3 linked regions of the Styela clava genome follow. The protein of the gene in region 2 purifies or fractionates together with the protein of the main gene of each other region. This does not show direct contact. Links are inferred from orthologs where the notes say so. Each region holds a gene or a part of one and is shown on either strand. Other genes may lie near its edges. The genes, in order: 7SK snRNA methylphosphate capping enzyme-like; spliceosome associated factor 3, U4/U6 recycling protein-like; speckle targeted PIP5K1A-regulated poly(A) polymerase-like.

What was found.
Region 1: the proteins of spliceosome associated factor 3, U4/U6 recycling protein-like (region 2) and 7SK snRNA methylphosphate capping enzyme-like purify together in Homo sapiens (affinity purification with mass spectrometry; 6 studies listed by BioGRID and IntAct, counting the BioPlex papers as one, with this or other methods). This does not show direct contact. The link is inferred for Styela clava from reciprocal best matches to the Homo sapiens genes SART3 and MEPCE.
Region 3: the proteins of spliceosome associated factor 3, U4/U6 recycling protein-like (region 2) and speckle targeted PIP5K1A-regulated poly(A) polymerase-like purify together in Homo sapiens (co-immunoprecipitation; 4 studies listed by BioGRID and IntAct, counting the BioPlex papers as one, with this or other methods). This does not show direct contact. The link is inferred for Styela clava from reciprocal best matches to the Homo sapiens genes SART3 and TUT1.

Annotation. Positions count from the first base shown.
Region 1 is NC_135252.1:268,507-275,824, reverse strand, and holds the start of 7SK snRNA methylphosphate capping enzyme-like, read left to right. Parts: upstream 1-4,279; 5' UTR 4,280-4,299; intron 4,300-5,010; 5' UTR 5,011-5,276; coding exon 5,277-5,520; intron 5,521-7,318. UniProt on the Homo sapiens protein: S-adenosyl-L-methionine-dependent methyltransferase that adds a methylphosphate cap at the 5'-end of 7SK snRNA (7SK RNA), leading to stabilize it.
Region 2 is NC_135252.1:15,208,848-15,215,958, reverse strand, and holds the start of spliceosome associated factor 3, U4/U6 recycling protein-like, read right to left. Parts: upstream 3,075-7,111; 5' UTR 3,050-3,074; coding exon 2,939-3,049; intron 2,353-2,938; coding exon 2,227-2,352; intron 1,705-2,226; coding exon 1,599-1,704; intron 1,296-1,598; coding exon 1,111-1,295; intron 801-1,110; coding exon 695-800; intron 1-694. Other genes in the region: uncharacterized protein LOC120343445, read right to left, coding at 3,818-4,792; HIG1 domain family member 2A, mitochondrial-like, read right to left, coding at 5,855-6,220. UniProt on the Homo sapiens protein: U6 snRNP-binding protein that functions as a recycling factor of the splicing machinery. Promotes the initial reassembly of U4 and U6 snRNPs following their ejection from the spliceosome during its maturation.
Region 3 is NC_135255.1:8,653,223-8,660,494, forward strand, and holds the start of speckle targeted PIP5K1A-regulated poly(A) polymerase-like, read right to left. Parts: upstream 3,109-7,272; 5' UTR 3,066-3,108; coding exon 3,002-3,065; intron 1,393-3,001; coding exon 1,196-1,392; intron 724-1,195; coding exon 620-723; intron 359-619; coding exon 253-358; intron 1-252. UniProt on the Homo sapiens protein: Poly(A) polymerase that creates the 3'-poly(A) tail of specific pre-mRNAs. Localizes to nuclear speckles together with PIP5K1A and mediates polyadenylation of a select set of mRNAs, such as HMOX1.

The sequences.
Region 1 (7,318 bases), about 15 Mb from region 2:
TTTTTGGTATCGGTAGTGTATAGGTATCGGCTAAATGTAGACCGATATTTCCGTTATATTAAGCTTTTTAATCTGATTCAGATTGTTTTTAAAAATAAAATAAGTTAGAGAACTGAGGTTGAAATTATTTTTTGCGTGAAGCGATCATGTTCGCGGTATTTATCTCATTAAAAATATATTGTAGATCACCGTGTATACTCTAGTTCAGGGTGGTCCAAGGTTGTCGGCTCCGCGGGTCACAAAATCATTTTTGCATTGTTCGCGGGCCACAATAGTGCCAAGAATAGGTAAACAGTGCAATACAAAACGAATGCTTTTATTGTGCAAACACATAGCTATCAGACATAGCCATCCCAGGCTAATAGAATCTACATTCTATTTTTAGTTTTCTATGATGCCTACATCGTAAGCATATATTCCCGGCCAAAAAGATAGAAAGCCAGATAATAATTTAGACTGCCAAGCGCATCACTCAACTTTGCTAGTTACCTCAGCTAGCCATAACACTAGTCAGTTTAATGACATTAGTGATGTAACAATATGTCAAAAGATTTTCTGATTAATTTTATTACAAAACAACACGGAATGCGTTTTTTTTATTACTCTCCGAATGTGACGCGGGCCACAGATAACGAATCGGCGAGGATGTGGATTAAACAGCACTTGAATACGTTATTCCACAATGTCACATAGAATGAATGTGAAATTTTTTTTGACATGCTTCCCATTATCTTTAAAACTAAATTAAAATATCACCCGAGAACTGTATCTATTTTTAACCCAAGAAAAGAAGCATAGTACGGAACAAAAACACCCATTGTTCAATCGAACCGGACCTTACTAATGTCTTTTAGATTTTTTGCAATAACTTTGACTTGCCGTGTCGTAGAAAACAGTGATTCCCAACCGCAGATTACTGCCGGTCTACCGGAAATTTTGTTATTTCGACATTTTCTGCCTATATTACTGTTTGGTTGAATAAAATACAAAGTTATATGAGTATGTTATATAATTTGTTTCTGTCGTTAAGATCTTAAAAATGGGGTATTGATTGTCCGTTGGCGTCTCGTCCGACGAGGAATCACACTTTTCCCTTCCGATCAATCGCGAAATCGTTCCATGATTCTAGCAAATTTCTAAAGTCTAAAAGTCGAGAAATTGTTTCGGTTCACATCGTCCGAATAAAACATTGTTACATAAGTATCGTCGTATTTAGACAACAAAATAATTGGACCTTAAAATAAGAAAACATGTGAAACATGCCCTCCTCCATTCAAATTTCCTTTGTACAAAACGTCGAGTATATTTTTAAACTATTCACCTGTAAATGTTCTTCATAGAACTACGTTTGGTACCAAGAAAAAGTATATTTTCATTTATAAACCAAGCAAGACTAATAATTTTTTTTTTTTTTGGAATTTATTTTAAGCACTGTCGCAGGTGTTAAATTGTGCAAGTTTTAGAACTTGGCATTGATTGATTTCTGATTTCGAGTTTGATAGAGGCAATTTTTGCAAACTTCCGGCACAACCCTACTGAAGTGTTTGTTTTTCATTGAGTAAATATTTGATGACCTCATGATTAATTTTGTTTTGGATTTGTTACTGACACGTAGAACTCCGGCACTGTCTTTAGAAACAAACCCATATCAACTTCCTATAACAAAAAATGCACTCATCAATTTTGAGAAGCATTCTGCTCCGCAAAGAAAATAACAAACGTTTTCATTGGTAAACATGTATAATCACTCAATATATCAAAAATCATAACTTCATAAGTAATCACACAAAAGTTGAGACTCATTACATGGTTTTTCTATTTCAAACTTTTGTATTATTTTACTTTTGAATCAACAGAGAAATCTACAATATTTTAACACCGAGCTGAAATTGACAAAATAAATATTAATATTTCGAAATATTCTCACCAATTCTCAGAGGATCTATTGCTTTCTCACAAAATATTACGATTCATCAACTCTGTCTATATCTACACGTTTCGTCACAGACCCCGACGTTTTGTTATTATTCCGAATCCTCGATATATATATTTTATACGATGACGAAGATTATCAACTTTATTGTTAATTGTTTTTTTAAAAGACAAATAAAATAATTGCTACAACTTCAATTTCATTTTATGAGTCGGAATCTTGCTATTAGTTTTAAAAATAAAACACAGCTGAATTGTGATTTCAAATATTGCTGATCAAAAGATATCTTGAAAACTAACGGCCATCGAATGTCTAATTTGGGTTAGGAAAACAGACAGATCGCAATCGAGAAAACTCATTTCAAAATTTTTCCTTTCGATAACCAGCGCACTTCGGCGTAAGCCTCAAATCATTTGCTTTAATGTCTTTGCTAATTTCTGAAAATATTCTGTGCTTCTTGGAATATGCGACTGAACAAAATTAATACCTTTTATGATGTCACCGAGAACAATATCCAAATCACTTGTCTCACCCTTTTTATAGACTTTAGTTAGATCTTTTACGTCTTACGAGTACAACAAGAGCCTCTGGATATACCGGTATGTATCCTTAACAAGGTATTGAACTGCTACTAAAGGGTATAATGACGTTACACTTATGACAAGAAGATTACAGAAAATCGAAAAATGCCGTACATAAGTTTAAATGTATAGGTTTGATAGATATTACATACCATTGCCAATTTTAGCGTTTTTAATGCATAAATATGATGAAGATATATTGAATAAAATATTGACACCCACCAACGCAGCTTTGGAGCAAGCTGCTGCAAGCGCTACTGATGAAAAGGGTTCGATGCTAATAAACATGCTAATAAACAAAATTTTGCAACTTTGGAGCGTTTTGGGGTCGTTTAATAACAGTATCAATTGCCTTGAAATTTTCAGTGATCAAAGTGATGGCGCCGGCGCGAATGAATTTTCTTCCAAAACTTACACGACAATTATCACAGGTAAGCTACTGATTTTTGAAGCAAATTGAAAAAGTTGCATAATTTGGTGTAAAAACGACCAAAACTTAATTCTTAGATGACGATTCGCTAACGAAGCTGACACAATGCCAGTATCCATCGGACATGGGAAACTTCATTGGCGTTGAAATCAACGCACAAATCAAAAAAATTATAATAGACGCAGGCCCGTGTCGACCCCGAGGGCCTTTCCCGAAGAATACACAGCGGAAAAAAAGGGGGGTTTTCGTATCATATTACACAAAACAAACAAAGAGAAAAGATTTGAGTTTTTCTGATATTTGTACAGCCTTGGTGATCATTCTAACGTTGCCCGTAACTACCTCAACTGCCGAGAGTTCGTTTTCGAAACAGAAATTAATAAAAAATTATCTCAGGAGCGCGATGTCGCAGGAAAGGCTCTGTGAACTGGCGCTGCTGAGTATTGAATCTGAACGCTCGACCCAAATTGATATGACGAAGATGGTGGATGAGTTTGCTAACGCGAAAGCGCAAATTTTAGGTTACCATTGCCTTCTTATACCGACATGTTATGCTTTTTGACGAAATAAAAAAATAGTAATTTTCTACTTTGAAATTTTGTTTTTGATAAATGAAAATTAACGATATCCCCCGAAAATAAGCCCTAGTGTTATTTTTCAAAAAAAAATGAAATAAGACACTGTCTTATTTTCGGGGAAACACGGTATGTAAATCCTATCCGTCGATCGCTATGGAAATACACTACACCCAACCCCCGTAATTTAACAATACCGGTACATTTAGAAATATAAGTAAGTATAAGTTTATTCCGACTCCATAATCAGCAATAGACGATAAAATAATTGATAAAAACTAAATAAATAAAACTGATTATAGAATCGGGAAAGCAAACGAAAACTCAAGTAAGGTTATTTTAGGTGGGAAGGTATTGATAAAAGAAGTATTACGTGTTCGCTCACTCAAATAAAATAAATAAAAGTAATAGTGTTTTAGCGATAACGACAATCTTCAACTCACTGAAAATTTAGGACAACATAAAAAAGAACACTACCAACAACATCATAATAACAAAACGATCCATTGGCCCATTTTGTGTCCAACAAACAAGTTAAAATCGGTTTTGAAACGTCAAGGAAACGTCGCCGCGTCAAAACGTAGAGATTACGTTCGCTCGACTGACTGTAGTCACGTGATACATCGGTTAAAAACGCATGTACGACTTCAACATCTCATTACGGCGGGTTGCCTGGGTGCGTTCGGTTGTGTCAGCGTTAGCAGTTGAGGGAGTGTTTTCGTTCGTTTAATTAATGTTGTATCAATGGAGAGGTTTATCTGCACAAGCGGTTCCATAATTGTGAGTATACGCTTCGGGCTCTCTATATAAGTTTTTTTTTCATAATACAGATCAGATAGGCGATTTGTAACTGTAATCAGGCGCTTACATTTTCGAGAGAGGAATTGGAGGGGCGTGGCCCTGGTCACGACCACACTGGAACGAGATTTACTTCACACATCTGTTTGGCCGATTGCGCCGTCAATCATGCGATTGCAATATCACGTAAACAATGGCCAAATCAAGGAATATTGCCTCGCAATGATTTACATGTGTTAATGGTGCTTAGGTTAGTTTAATGCTTGGCACATCATTGACCTATCACATAGCAAAAATTGGAATTATTAAGTTGATAAGAAATTATGTGTGGAAAACAGTTTAATTATATGTCTGTTTGCTAGTTCAATTAATCAAAAATTAATCTTGTTATTTTTATTTTCATTCACTTTCATCAAATATCTGTCTAATAAATTTAGATATAGGCCTATGGTCATTCTATGAAGAACAAAGCCAGGGAGGATCCATAAAAATCATAAATGTTTTTTAGTTAGTCCATTTGAAATGATCCAGCTCTTATTCATTTTTGGTATTTTATTGTTTGAAAACATGGAAGGGTTGCATATAATTCGATATTATTTAATAGGCCTATTTGACTATGCACATCTGGGAAATTCCGGGGAACTAAGAACAAACTAGCAAAAAATAAAAGTGCTCAATATTGTTTTTTTACAGGTTCTAGCTTCTATCCATTATCTTTCAATTACATGCATCATGAATCATTTTGTATCACAAACTTCATTAATGAATTTACAGTCTGCAAAAATAAAGACCATCATTTTAGACAAATAACATAAATTTGTCTTTACTGTGCGAACTTAGAGACACTATTGACTAGTGCATCTCATCCTAATCAGAATATATTCTAGATCTGCATCCAAAAATACTCTGTATACTGGTATAACAGAACTTCATAAAACGACTGATCGTTTCAATTAGCAATGGCAACTGTGCAAACATTATCTCCTTCATCAGAAGGAAGGTGCATTTTACAATTGTCCAATACTGATACCATTATCACAAATGAAGAAGACTTTCTGAAAAATGACAATGGCATAAATTTTTCAAGTGCCCCTGAATTTGTTGAAAGTGAGGAAAATGTTAATCAAATTCATCAGGCGGGAAATAGAGGTAGAGCAAGAAGACGCAAGAGAAGGAACAGTTTTAATGAACATTCTAATATGGGTAAGACAATTTTTATAAACATGCTTATATCAATCAGATAAAGAAATAAAAATATTTCATAAGTGTGTATAGGACTGGTCAAAGTATTCAAATAGCAAATCTTATATTATGATGTTCGAATGGCACTTTACTATTCATGTACCATGTGTACCATCACTTTGCTTGGGACAAGGAACTCTCATGTTGCAAAATCGATGGCCTGGAATTGTACGAGAATTTACCCACGGCTTTCACAAACAGACAGAAACGACAAATTTGTATAATCACAAATTCAATATCTTTGCGTTGAGATGTTTTTTGCTTTCTTTTTTCGCAATTGTATCATTTTCAATCGTTTATTTTGCTAATAAAATGTTAAAATGACATTCTCAAGAGACCATGCATGTCGGAAAAGGAAATTTAGGTCATCAGAAGATGTGAGTTATATAAATAGCATCAATTTGAAAATGGCAACTCAGATTTTTAAAAAGCATCACTTCTAGCCTAGATAAGGCCATATCCCTCTAAATTGACTTTCTATTAGCTTGGCATGTATTTTCAGTGATCTATTCCTCCCTTACAAAGTAATGTTTTGAAAATGTAAACATTCACTTGGCCATGCATGGTGGTAAAATTGTAAACAATAGGAGACGATGTAATGAATCTTGAATATTCTTGTAACAATGCCCATTGGCTCGTTTACGACTTGTTGCGCCCAGCCTATCATCATCGTAAATGATACATTATTTCTACATTTTGAAGCTTTTGTGCAGTAATATTTAGGGCGTGACCTAATCGAAATAGGCTAGTTAATTGTTGAATTTTCAAATTTCGTAAATAAAATTGTGAATTTCTTGGTAACGATTTTAGCTGTAATAATGATCTTAACCCTCAATAGACACAAAAGCACTTACCGGTAATAACTTCATCTCGCCCAATGACCACATAGAAATCCCTATTATTTACTATTTTAAATCAAAGCAACATTCAGGATTCTAGTATCACAGCTTTGCAGAGTTATCTATTTGATACAAAAATAAGACAGACATCATAGAAAAGCATACATCAGTCAATTATCGTCCTCATAAATATCTGCAATCCGGTGTCGATAATGATAACATTGTTATCTTAAAACTAGGACAGTTAATTTACAAACAGTGTGTCCTTTCGATATCATGCCCTGATGAAGTTTTTCTGTATAGAAATTCGAAACGTCGGCAAATTACATCGTTTTGTGCTAACACCGGTTGTGCTTCATTTATTATCAACATGAGTTTACCTGGTGGCAATCACGCACAGTGATAGGGAGGTCAAAGCCGACACGAATGATCATAATAAAATTAATCAGGTCCTGAAATAACACCTCAATCTGTCATCAATATGAACACACGTATAAATATTATATACATCGTATAAATATTCAAAATATAAAAAGAATTAATACTAAAAAGAGAAATGGCTGGAATATATCTTATCAAATTTACGTTTTCGGTCGTTAAATCAAACGGGATAAATATAATCAGCGGTTATGTCAAAATTAACCAGTATAAAATCAACGTTGTCATTGAATTTGCAATGTTTACATTATTTAATTTTAAAAGGGAGTATGGACCTCTGACGTTCTGGATTCCTATTGTGTATTAAAAATATTCGTTATTCGAAAAAAAAATATTCGAATTGTTTGATTCGAAAAAGCTATTTGATTTTGCCCACCCCTACTTATGTATTTGTATAAGCTTTGTTGTTTTTTATGTAACATTTCTTATATCTCAGTGATTTGAAATAGACAGACAACAGACTATCTTTCAAATTGTATTAG
Region 2 (7,111 bases):
GCGACAACGTCGAAAAAACATAAGACTTTATCTAAATAATATACTAGCCTCAACTATAACATAGTCTACAACATTTTTATTACTAGGGTATTACTAGGGCAAAAAATATTAATAAAGTTGCTTGCATAGAGCATGGTTTAATAAAGCAAATTCTGTGAATAGGCCTCATACAAAAAAAAACTGGACAAATGGACCTTTCCCCGAGCATCGACTTTCTTGTTTACTTCGTGACATTGGCCAATCAGCAAGATGAAAAAAGTGACGTAACAATGCTCCCTTTTCGCCTCCGCTCAGACACTTTTTTCACTCAGACAGATTTTCAAGCGTGGTCTTAAACATTACCTTGTTTTCGCGTTTTTGAACTCTATTCATTAGTTTTCAGTTGTGTTTCGGTAACTTAAATATAAATCAGATAATTCAATGATTACTCTGTCTTCCTAGGAGTTTTAATTTAATTGCAGTAATAAAAAATTAGTATATAAATAGCTGTGATAGACTAGGCTAAAATTCTTTATCGGTAATTTTGAAAATCAGATTGTTGTATGCGATAAACCTTAATGATGGTTTGAAACACTGTGAGAGCAACAAGTCATTGTTAGCCATGGTTTATCTTTCAAGTTACAATCTATGCTATTTAAATAAAATAAAATAAATTTGTTCAAGAACAGTATTACCATTGGTCCATTGTACTTACCTAGCAGGGGAATGGCGAGTTGTCGCTTGAAGAGAGTTTTTATTTTATTCGATTGTTTTTTGATTTTTTCTTGTTGTTCGGCTGTCGATACACTTCCAGGAGCAGGCTGTTGATTTGAAATATAGAGTTCAAAAAACTAGTTAGAGGAAGATTACACATTTCTCATATATACATGAATATAAATAGTTTCTATATTAAATTTGATACTGTAATTTGGACTCATTATGTATGCAGGCAACTTTTACATACCTATTACTGGTTAGAAACATTTTGAAACATATGTGCCTTGATAGATTTTTTACAATACAGAGTCAACCGAAAACTGGAATAAACAGGTTACATTCAAGAAAGCTATAAAAAATACAAATGTTAGGTTTTAATCTCAATGCGTGCCATACTGGTAAGTAATAACCAACCTGTAAATTTTGTAACATTGCATTTTCAAACTCTCTGTACATTTCCCATAACGCAGCACCTTCTGTTACATGTAGGCCTACGGCTGTTATAGATCTTTCCATAACATCACGAATTCTATTCAAACCATCTTCTGAACCCAACCATCTTATAGAATATTGAGCATATTCAAGCCATACCTCTGGACCTAATAAAATGAAAATATAAAAAAATAATATTAACTGAAGTCAAAAATTCTAAATAAATTTCACCTTTATGCAGTATGGTCAGGGTTGGCCATTATCGTATTATCAAAGTGCATTTTGAAATAATATTTACGAATGTGGAATACTGAATATATTCCCAATTGCCAATATCTTGGAAAGTAAAAAAATAAACCAGTTATGTCAAACCAAATGCCAACACAAGTATGTTGTATTCTAATTGAACATACCTAACATATTGCCTATAATATATTATACAATTGAATTAAAATTGTCGCTTAACTCACATATGTAATCCTTGACAGCTTTTTCAAATAATTCAACAATTCTATTATGATCTTCTTCCGATTCCGCATATTTTTTTTCATCTTCAATCCACTCCAACCAGAGAGCCTAGGATAATTAACAATATATTATAGGAAAAATTACCCTTTGGGGGGGGATTTTGATATTTTAGGGAGAAAATATCACTTTGTATATGATGTAATTTCACAAAATCGATTTGGTTAATTAGTATTGTTGTAATACCCATTAATGAATTTATTATAAACTATATATATAAACTGTGCAAAAGCCAACATGCCAGTTGCCCGTAGCTCTAATTTCAGACCTATTAAGATTGCACAAATAATCGATCATAGTTTTTATGCATAGTAAAGGAGGAATGAAGTTGTCCAAAATAGGCAAAAAGAGGAATTTATCGAGAAAAGGTTGGAAACCACAGATATAAACTATGACAATTTACATAAATTAGTTCCACTGAGAAGAAATTTTGGTGCAGCTATATCATGAGATCATCCACCTATGTCGCCTATCGAGTTACAGTCTGGGGTTTAAGTTGGAGAAAAAGCGATTGATCTCATAGTATACTGGCGCCGTAAATTTTCATACAATTTACAAATATTTCAGTCTTACCTGAGTTAGTGGGAATATCTTTGCCATAACATTACGAGCATCTCTTAATTTTTCAAGTTCTCCAGTTTTTCTCAGAAGTTTAATAATTGTGATGTGAGAATGATAGTCGAATGGAGATCTGGACAACTAAAAACAATACAAGGTAAATAACCAAATAGAAATAAAAACTTTACAATGGGCCAATTCTAAATCTTACATTGCTTCGAATCATAAGTGGACAACAGCTTATTTTATTCTCGATACTACTGACACCTATTGTATGTTGATGTTTTTCTAATCTGCGTTTATAACCATATTTATTACGAGTATATTGGTAAAAAATTGAAGCACCTTACAATATCAGTGCTATACATGATTATTTACATTGGGTTGAAAGGCCAAAGATTACAAACAAACCAAGAGTATCTATCCCATGGATGACAAACCACTGACCCGCAGGTCACAAAGTCACGGATTATTGCAAAAAAAAACGTTTCAACATATTTCAAATGAGGAAAAAATTTGCTATAAGACCGCCTCAGTTAAATCTATCAATATGTGTAATGAAAAATGAAACGTCAAGTGCCTCATTGATGCAGACATTGATTAAATCTACGGCTCACTTTTTCGTTTTCATGATAAAAATCTAATGAGTAAGCCAATCAGTACAAAAATCTTCGCCATCTCTGATCTATACTATAACATTTTGTTGAATAAAAATCAAATGAAATACTTTCTCATTCAATTCCTCAATTTCCTTCAAGGATTCTTCCTCAACATCCTCATCACTTGATAATTCATCTTCTTCTTTATCTTCCTCCTCCATTCTCTCCTCAACCTCCATTTTTAAGACTTTATAACAAAGAATATAGAAGACTAAAACAAAAAGATGCAATTTTTAATAGTATATTGTAAGCAAAATAATAAAAATATTAACCATAGAATCCAATACCGACAAGTATGATTATTTTGTAAATCAGAAAATATACCATATTGTACTCAAGATCAACAAAATATTGCTTTTATTGAATTATTTTTTACAGGCAGTTCGAATAATCCGAATAATCCGAAACACAATTTGCAAGCAAAAATTATTTCCAATTTTGAACAAATTCACTTCCTCTGGCATTCCTAATTTAGTGCAGTAAATATAGTCTGCTATAAACCTCCTGTTACAAAATATTACATATTGTACATAACACATTGTAGTTTTAAAAAAAATTCTTCCTATCGAATACATAAATTTGAATATATATCCTCCCATAACAATTGTTTATCATTCCTGTCATAATACATCACAAATTTCAATGCCAAAAAAATGAATTAAAAATTACCGTCAACTTTACAAAAAAACAAATGTAAAGATAAAATGATTATATCATTATATAGTATCATTGAGTACTGGTATAAGTTGAATGCTTTGATGTTTGAATGGATACATTTGCCTTAGTAAATATGCAAAATTACAAGAGGCTGCACTCCTACGACCAAAGTCCCCTATACCAACAAAAGGAGGTATTAAGATGTGATTTTGGTCGACTAGGTGGCAGGGGATATGTGTCAGTTTATATTCATTTATTAGACAACATGGTGTAACGTAAACTACAATAAATCAGGGTTTGGGTTTTTTAATATTCCCAACAGCAGGTATAACAGTTGTTTTATGAGTCAAAATTTTTTCTGTGGAACTTCTCGAACCTTGCTGATCCCATTTTGATTTTTTTACCGGATCCCCAGAACCACCTTGACTTGAGGTTGAAGATGGCTTTTTAACTGTTCCTGTAACAAACTCAACCTTAGTTTTACGCTCTTTCTCCCTCTTGGCCATATCTTCACGTTGAGCTCTTGCAAGTTCGTCATATTTAGGAACTTTTCTCCATCGTTTTGGATTATAGTCCTGAGGTGGAAAATTAGTTCCTAATTCATCAATACCTAAATATAGAATCAGTTTATCATAAATACTAGGATTGCGAAAATCTTTTCGTGACTGAATCGCTTGATTTAAGTCCTCCCCATGTGTCACTTTCCGTTCCATAAATCTAGTAATTTTATCCTGTAAACTGCTTGAACATCTTCCTTCCGGCTCAGGTGGTATGCTTACTTCATCAACAGAAGCAGATCGGAGTTTTTTTGCCAGATTGGTAGCGCTCTCAGAACTTTTTCGTTTCGCTCTTCGCTTCGCTTTTGCCATTAATGTATCACCAAGATTGCTTACATCATCATTTTCCTCCCCTTCACTACTTTCTTTTCCTCCATCTTCTTCTGCCTCATCCACGTCACTCCCATCATGAATCACCGAGAGATCCTCAACATCTTTTATAGCATCTTCCGGATCATTTGAGTCTTTATCTTCCTCCTCTTTTTCCTCATCATCATCATCATTGATATGTTCATCTGGATCTTGCCAAATATCTTCTTGATCTTCGATAGTCCCCTTAGGTGAAGGTGATTTCGGTTTATCGTTAGTCTTCTCTTGGGGCTCTAATGTTTGAGTTTTCTCTTCTTTTTCTGGTTTTTCTTCTACTTTTTTTTCTTCATCTTCCTCATCAGATATATCATATGAAGCAAGAGCGTCTAAGCCTGACATTATTTTTATAAAATATATCTGTAATTGGAAGAAAAGTATTTCAACAATAATTAACAACAATAATAACTACCGGTAATCATAGTTTGAAGCAATTTCCACTATTCATTTCAAAGAAGTTTGGAAAATATACGTTTCACTCAATGCCTTAACACAGCTTGTTCAAGTTTCGCCTTTTTGGTCAAAGCCATCGAGTGCATTCATATTAGCAGTGTTGTCATTATTACACTGCTGTCAGGCAAATTTTCATTTATTTTGGGGGCCAAGATAGGAACTAATTATACCTAATTTGATACAAATTAGTTAAAAATTATTATTATAGAGGTATTGATAAAATGGACAGTTTGTTCTGAGATATACCGAGAAAAAATACCAGGATGTAGTTCGGGTGTCACTACAAAATCCGCAATAATTGGCACCAAATGTTAGAGTAAAAATGATCACAGTTATTATCACTCATACCTTCTCAAAGAACCAATATAAGCATTGGTCACAGACAAATTTAATCTATATTTAGACAGATTAAAATCAAAACACATTTCCAGATTTAATTATTAATTTGACATAATATATGTTCCCCTAAACATAATACATCCATATTATACAATTGATAAAATGAAAGCATGGATATATTACGATTCATCTTACAAGTAAACCAGAAATAAAAAGCCAAAATGCAGTAAAATACTTTAAATTGAAAATTATTATTTTTAATATCACTCGTACATATGAAATTCATTAAACGTCTTTTTCATTTTTATTATCAAGAAAATTATTGTTATAACTATTTCAGACATTGGCACATTGTTAGGAAATCAAGATACCTGAAACAGCGATGCTTTTGTTATTATAAACATGAAAATTACACCGCCAATATATTGATGTTCATGTCTCATGGTAAAATGCATTTTTTTAATGCATGGATAATAGTTTAATTTATTAATTACTTTAATGGTGACACAGCAGCTTAGGCATGCACAGCTTATGACTGTACGGACCGTATGTCAAACTTTTTTAATTCAATTCAAGGCAAGATTAAAAATCTGATCTGTAGATAATTTATCATTATTCATTGCTTTCTCGTTGTTTACGGTCAGCTCTAATTCCTTCAATGGCTATACCTGCAACAATAGCCATCACAGTGAAACCCTGCGCAAGTATACGCCCCCTCATCATATTTTGTGATACTTTGGCATTCCCCATGTTCAAGATACCACGTGTCAAGAAAAATACTGTTCCGCCCAGTCCTAATGGTATAAAAGGATTTTCTTTAAACTTTCTCCACACCATCTGAGCAGTCGTTTCTTGATCAAATATATTAGCTGATGTATACTGGGGCATACTGGGATTTATAAATTGACGAGGTTGAATTCCATCAGGAAGCTGTGACAATATTTCAGCCTCTGTCATTTGTTTCTTTTCTCCAGACATTTTGAATTGGTACAGGTAATGCTGTAATGGTATCGGTAGTCTAAGTAATCTGGTTCAACTTATCCTATGTGTCCGCACTTTGTAAACCCAAAACTTCTGGCTGAGTGTTATATTTCCAATTATCCTCTTTAATTTCTGTTAGAAGATGTTTTAGATCTGCCAATCGTTGCTGATGAAGTTCTTTTTCAGTCTCTGATCTTACTTCTTCTATTTCCACGCCGATGTCTATAAACTCTTTCAATAGTTCGGCGTTTTGTTGCTTGCTCTGACCGCTTTCAATAAACGAGGATTTTGCAGTCGACATTAACATACAACTAGCAAGTCACTATGACATTGAATAAAACGAAAACGAACCTTGTGCGTGTTTGCAACAGCAACGTGAGTGTCCTCTGGACTCTGATACTTACGTCATGTATGAATGACGTCAGTTCAAAATGACACCATATTTCGTAAGAGGGAAATTACGTTCAGGCACTTTGTAAAAACCTGTTTCGCAATGGTTGTGATTACTGAATGCCTGATTAGTTCAAAACAGAAAAATCAAATATTATACGTTTCAATCTTTTTTACGCAGGTTTACTACACATTTATTTATACTAAAGCTTCGATCACGTTTTTACTTCACTTAGGCAACCAAGATTTTATTACTTTTCATCCTCGCGTGCCCAAAATTCCATAAAGTACCAGGCTTTGAGAATTTGGAATGATATTAACGCAAACCTGAATGAAATTTCCAATTTTTTAATTATTTTCCAAGAAGTATTTCCAGTCTTTTCTGAATAAGTACTGATTCACAACTTTTCAACTGTACGTTTTTTTTTTATTTGTGTGATATAAAATTGAACGCTTTTTCTTGACGCTATCGTTTTAAATTTTGTCTTATATATATGT
Region 3 (7,272 bases), on a different chromosome or scaffold from region 2:
AGTCACCAGAAAAAAAAAAATGAGAATCAAATTAACCAGAAACAGTATTATTTTGAACATCAATTACAAAACAATTTCGCTGTTATGATCAGACGTTACAGTATTCAATAACTTATACATGACCAGTACTTGCAATAAAATAGGAAATTGATTGTTTAATAAAATATGACTGTACAATTCTTAGTCCTTGTTTTGTGATATAAATAGTAATTTAGTCATATTTGGAATATTATTAAAACAATGATAACTGACATCATCTGCATCCATAAGAGCTTTCCAAACATCAGGATGCATCTGTGTATGTACAATGTGACGTTGCTCAAAGTTTGATCTTTTTGATGTTGGTAACTTGACTTCCCTGCAAAAAGTGTGTTAGAAAAGATATTAGGTGCCTAGGGAGAGAAAGAAAACTTATGTTTCATAGACTGAACACTGAAGGGTGAAGGCTATAGAGGTTTATATACAAATAGTTCATTGGTCTATTAGTGTGAAAAATACACTATAATTTTCAATATCTCAAAGCTTATATCAATATGAAAACTGCTACATTTTTGTGAATAATATAATATGAATGAAAGAATGATATTTATCTGAGGTGAAGACGAAATTACACACCAACCTTGGTTTAACAATAATGGATTTTGATCCGAGAAAATGTTCTTTTACTTGCAACACTTTTTTCACAGAATCAACTTCACTGAATTCGAGAATGGCAAAGCGATTCTGAAATGGGAAATATTGTCAAACAAAAAAAAAATGTAAAAATACCACAAAAACTAAATCGTTCTATATCTGAAACACAGGCAGATAGAATCTAGTAGGCCTAAGTGTTAACTTAACGATGCTGTTATCACAAGTTAAAGATCTTGCACTCAGGGCGCAATAAATTCGGTAGCCTCAGCAACGATGAATTGAAGTTTGCAGTATTCCCAAGAACAGTATCTCCATATATATTAACAGTGACATGTCCATAATAGACTTTAGTTTGAAATGAAGGCCAGAAAACACCTCAATCGGTCAAAAATCAAATTCCTGCATAATATGGGCCACGCATGAAAAACAATGGACTCAAGTCAGCAAACTGAATATGAACCTTATATAAAAGTGGTCTCTTAACCGTTTCAAATTTAATTTGAGGTCACTGATGTTTCTCATTTATCCAAGGTTTAGTAAAACTACATTACTGCCAACTTACATTATTTTTATCCATTGTTATCTTTGCAATTGATCCATATTTTGAGAAATAATCAGCAAGAGATAATTCTATTGCTTGAGGACATGTAGAGAATCCTGTTATGTACAATGATCTTTTCGCCTCTGATTCCAATTTCTGTATTCTTTCAATATTTTTAACATGCTTTTTGCCTTTTAAATGTCCAGCTAATGATGCTTCTACAAGAAAAGAAATAGGAAACAAACTAAAATAATGTCAGCCTATGTTGGGAATGAGATTAGTTAGCCAGTTAGAGGTATTTGTTACAGATGCATGAAGTTGCATCTCTCGTTGACTTGAAAAAAAAGCAATTCCATGGTTAGTTTCGTTTCAGGTGATGGTTCAGGTTTATGATTAGAGTTCGATCCATCAATGATTTTTATTGAGATTTCAGGATTTGTTGATGAAAAGATGAATTCAAATCCTGGTTGATATAAATATGGGGTCTCGTGTAGTTTTGTATCACAATAACTTCCAGTGGGCGTGGCGTAACAATTTTTGCACACCCCCCATCTGACTACGTCATCTGAAAATTACATCCCTATTCCTTCATAGTGACGTAAGAAGGCCCGCCAAAATATAAGGATGATTGTGCATAAGGCGCAGACGATTATCTGTAGTCGAGCAAGCTATTTCTCTCGTTATAGCCATCATGATATGAAGGTTGAGTTTGTTATTGTCGGCGCACAAGCCAGCTCGAGCTGTGATTTTGACGTCATAGTGACACAGTTTTTGGATTACGTAGTCAGGTGGGGGTTGGGAATAACATATTCAATAATGGTTAAGACAAGCCTACTAAAAGTACTTGTGCTGTTGTGGTACTTAACTACTTACTAAATAGACCCAAAATTTGAAAGACCAGAAGATGGGACTATGTACAGAAATATTATAACGTACTTGTATGTATGTTTATTAGTCTCGTAGACGTAGTAGTAAGCAATATAAAAAATTGACAATATTAATATTGGAGACGGGGCGCATGCACAAGACCGTACTGGCCTAAAACACAAATGTGCGACATGCACCCCTTTCGACAAGTACAGAACAAAAAATGTTAGATTAAATGCATATGATATGGTCCCTTATACAGACCATTGTGTAAGGTGGGGCAATGGGTTGGTGTGGCAAAAGTGGTAAGGGAGGAGTACACAGAACTGTTTACACAAGGGAGTTTATAAGACAAGACAATATATATAAATAGGGACAACACAATACACCAAATACATAATGATAAAATAAAAATTTAGGCGTAGATACAGCACCCTTGGGGTCTCATGTAGTTTCTTACCTAACATACTTCTAGTGGGCGTAGCATGACAATTTTTTTCATGTATCAATCCTAACCCCCACCTGACTGCACAATCCAGAAATTACGTCATTACGACGTCACAGTGACGTAATAGAGCCTGTTAAACTATACGAACTGCCATCCAAGACGCGCAAACGAGCACCCGAAATCGAACAGTTATTTCTCTCGTCGCAACGATTCCAATAGGAGAGAGACCGATAACGTCAGTCAGTTCTTTATCGTCGGCGCCAATACCATTTCGGTCGATCGTGCGTATATTTGGCAAGCTCTATGACGTGATTGTGATGTCGTAGTGATTTAATTTTTGGATGGCGTAATCAGATGGGGGTTATGATTAACATATAAAAAAAAAAAAATTGTCATGCTACGCCGACTAGAAGTGGGTTAGGTACGAAACTACACGAGACCCCACCCTTGAGTGTGCTTCTCTAGTGTGCTTTAGTTTTATCTTTAACATAACATGGTACTAGTGAACTAACCATTTGGAATGTAAACATCACATTTGTCGCAAAATATTCCCTTGCCTTTCACATCTTCATCCATCGTGATCCTTCGTCCTTATTGGTGGAAGACCTCTGTGAAGTTAGCAGATAATCACGAAATTGGAGCTGACAGAATCGCAGAAAATTCCTACACGTAAAATCAAATGTTCCCAATCATTTTGTGCTAGGAAGTGTATATTTTGAGTGATTTACCGATAGCAATTAAAGTAAAACAATTAGTCATCACACTATTCATATTTTTAATATATATTACCACGCTAAAATTACTGTAACAGTCCCAATTTCAAATTCCAAATTGTATTAAAGGGTTGTTTTAAATTGACTGAATTTCAATATTGACTCGATTCGGGGCAGGTATTTCTCGAAAATCTCCAATGAAGCCGGCATAACGACCTATTGGTAGAAAAGAAGAATCCTTATAGATTCGAATTCATCATGACAGAATACTAACAGCACGTTTTGAACTGGCCATATATAATACCAAACATCAGTGGCGGCACGTGGTCATTTTGATAACCGGGGCAAGCTACTGCGGGACCAAGTAACCCCAAGTCAAGGATGAGCGCTGTAAGTTCTCCCATCATTTTATGAGTATAAAAACCATTCTATCGGTAACAACCAATCGGCAAAAGCGACAATTTTTAACGATAAGAAAGTGTCTTTAAAACCGGTCCAAGGCAAGGGATTAATAAATATAGACATAGTTTATTTTGAAACCTCTTTCAAAAGGAAAGGCAATATTTACCCAGATAAATACAATGACATATTAACAGAAACTTCGGGAAAGCAGACAAAACCTAAAATAAGGTTTAAAACGTTACTATGAAGAAAGGAAAGTTATGCAAAGATAAGGACATGCGTCGCTCACTCATAGATATATATGCTGCTATACTTCTACTGCTTGAACATATATGCAACACGCCGCGGTTTCTTGGAAGCAAAATGCTCAATAACGCGCTGATTAAAGTCATGCATCCCAGAAATAACGTCTCTGTGAATGGATAAAACATCCAAGGAATTTAATCTATCTTGCTTCATTGTGTTTCTGAGATACGTTTTAATACGCTTCAGCGTGCTGAATGTTCGCTCTACGTCGGCGGAAGAAATAGGCGTCGTCCAAATGATGTCCAGAAATTTTGCAGACGCCGCAAAGGTAGTTACCAGAGTGTTATCTATGAGGAACCCATAGAGCGCGCAAGTTGATGTGATGTTCAAAAAAGTTTGATTGGTGTATATACATCGCAATTCATTTTCCAATTTACCCACGTTTATCATGGGGTAAAATTTGGAGACAGTAGCCAACAAATGGATGCGAAATTACGTGCAAATTTTGAAAATTTTTTGGGGTTCATCAAAGAGAACGCGGCAAGGTGTTCAGTGCGCAGACGATCGCCTATTTGATTCACCAGAATGTCACAGCATTCCTTTGCAGACAAAATCAAACGCTGCGTTGTTTGCCCTCGGCGTAAAGAAGCACTCCATGTGTCGTCGTATTTTATTGTTTCCCGGATACGAGATACAGCATCGCAGAAGTCTGAAATACACGACTGCACAGACGCTCCATCCATTAGCCTTGACTGCAATGCGCCGTATAATACATCCACGTGATAGAATATTGTGGAGAAAAAGGCGAGAAAAAATGAAAACTCACCATCTTCTAGCAGACGCTTTAGACTAGAGATGTACCGATGTATCGGTATCGGGTATCGGTATCGGCCATGTATCGGTATCGGTTAGATTAAGGCCGATATTTCCGATATATTTACCTTTTTGATATGGTCCAGAATGTTTTAAAAGATAAGTTGGAATACTACTTTTTATTTTATTTTTTGTCTGGAGAGATCGTGAGCTATGAGCCATACATGTCCCTACCCCCGCGAGAGAATATGATTCACGTATTTTTAGCTATTTTCGCCGTCAAATTTTTATATTGACATTTTTAATATTACATAGTAATTATGAAGAAATATATCAACACGGCACATAACAAAAAGCAATTAGGCGCCCAGTTTTAAATCATACAGTGGAATTGGGGTCCTTATTAACGGCACATGGACTTTTGGCACGGGTATAAATTCTGACTGTTTGTCGTCAAGTACGAGTGTCATTTAGTCCGACGACATCGATAAACTAAATTCCGACACAATTATCCCTCTACGCAGATATTAATTTTGTTTAACAACATAATTTCTTTATAGATATATTGACATGACCGCCTAGCCCTAGAGCGCCTAGAGTCCTAGACTGTCTCAAAATATATGATAGCAATTGTATAATAATATAAAATAGTAAAGTAAAAAAACATCCTCGACGGTTATAGGTAGGCCTTCTTTTGGTCGGTGCTGAATGATATTCTTTCATGCTGGCTTTGACTTATTGCGTCGACGATTACGATTAGCCACGAAATAAAATATTTGAAAAATGCTTTTAATTTGAACGTAGGACGGCGGCTCTAGAATGTGTGGGTGATATTCGATATTCTCTTAAACACGAATAACGATATTCGAAGGTCGCGATATTAACATTAAATTCAAATTGGACATCCCGGCTTATGAGTTTTCTAATTGAACACCGAGATTACTAGCGTTACTGTACAGTGTATCTTAATCAGTTGAAGCAAACACCAAACATTAATTTCATATTATGTGATATATCATTTTTCGATCTGAAATAATGTGTACTATGAACAACGCTCAAAGACCATTGTTTTAACCCGTCTGCCCTACACAGCACACCTAATTAAGTAATATTTACATAGTATCGGTATCGGAATATCGGCCTTTTTGTAGTATCGGCGTATCGGTATCGGCTTTTTTAGCTGGTATCGGATCGGTATCGGTATCGGCGACAAAAGTGGTATCGGTACATCTCTACTTTAGACCTGCCGCCTCCCTGACAGAGCGTTCGTCCCAAACCGGAGAGCTCTGAATGCCATTGAAACACTCAATGAGCTCAGACCTAATTTCGGACACGCCCTGCACCACGCGTGATTGGAAGTTCCAACGTGTTGGTGCACAAGCTGGGAGACGGCGGCTACATATCTGGCGAAGGAGGTCAGAGCGCTTCAGCGAAACGGAAAAAATGAAGAAAACCCCGAGACATTTGCAAAAAATATACGGACGAGAGGGGTATCAAGACACATATTTTTAATAACGAGGTTAAATTGGTGTGCATAACAATGTAAAAAATGCGCATGAGGAAAATCTTCTTTTATATAAACTTTAACACCATGTTTCGACCCACTCATGACTGCCGCGCCGTCATAAGTTTGAGCTATCAATTTTGACTTCGCGTTGTAAGGCTGTAACACTTCTTTCAGTACAGCCGATATCCCGCAAGCCGTGCGATCAACGATTGGTACAAAGCTGTGAAATCTCTCGGTAGGTTTACCATCTTTCACAAACCGAAAAATCACAACCAGTTGGGAAACGCACGTGATGTAAGTGGTCTCGTCAAACTGAATCGAAAGGAACTGGCAATTCTCAATTTCCAGAGCCAAATGTTGTAAATAAATTTTATACATTGAGTCGAGCAAATCATTTTGGATATCCTTAGATGTCCCTTTCGAAACAGTTGCGGCATCAAGATGATCTCTCAATACTGTATCTATATAGGGATGCGGTGTATTCCACCATATCCAAAAATACCCCTCTATTAGAAGAGCCAGCCCGTTCATCGTGCCCACGGAGGGACAGCTCGTGACAACCAATGAACTTCAAAACATCTATCAATCGACCGAGAACATGGCGGTTTTTCTCGACGTTTCGGTTGTGCCGACGAATAGAAACCGCGCGTCCTTCATCCAACTGTGTTGCAATATTAACATTTCCGAATGTTCGGTATTTTACTGCATTGTCCAGATGCTCCATAGAAGATTGATGATCCCTGGCACGCTCGGAAAGATGTTTAAGATCTCTAAAACCAAATTTACACCAACGGTAGCAAAAAGTAGGCAATAAAAACAAAAAAGTGCATTTTTGTCCCCGCTGTAACACAACCATTCGTGTTTTTTATACCAAGTTTCTGCGCAGAATGTACGCCGACGCTTTCCTCCGTCATGGGATTGTTCCAGTGAACAATTTTTTGGTTGATAAGGCCCAAGACGTTGTACCTCTAATTTTTGTTCCAGCGGCAGCTGCGAAACGGAGTGCGAAGTAGTGCATCAACCTTATTCATTATGAAGTCTACGGCTAAGAAATGCGAAGCCGGGAAGAAGTGAGGAGCTCAAAAGGAATGTGGAAAATCGA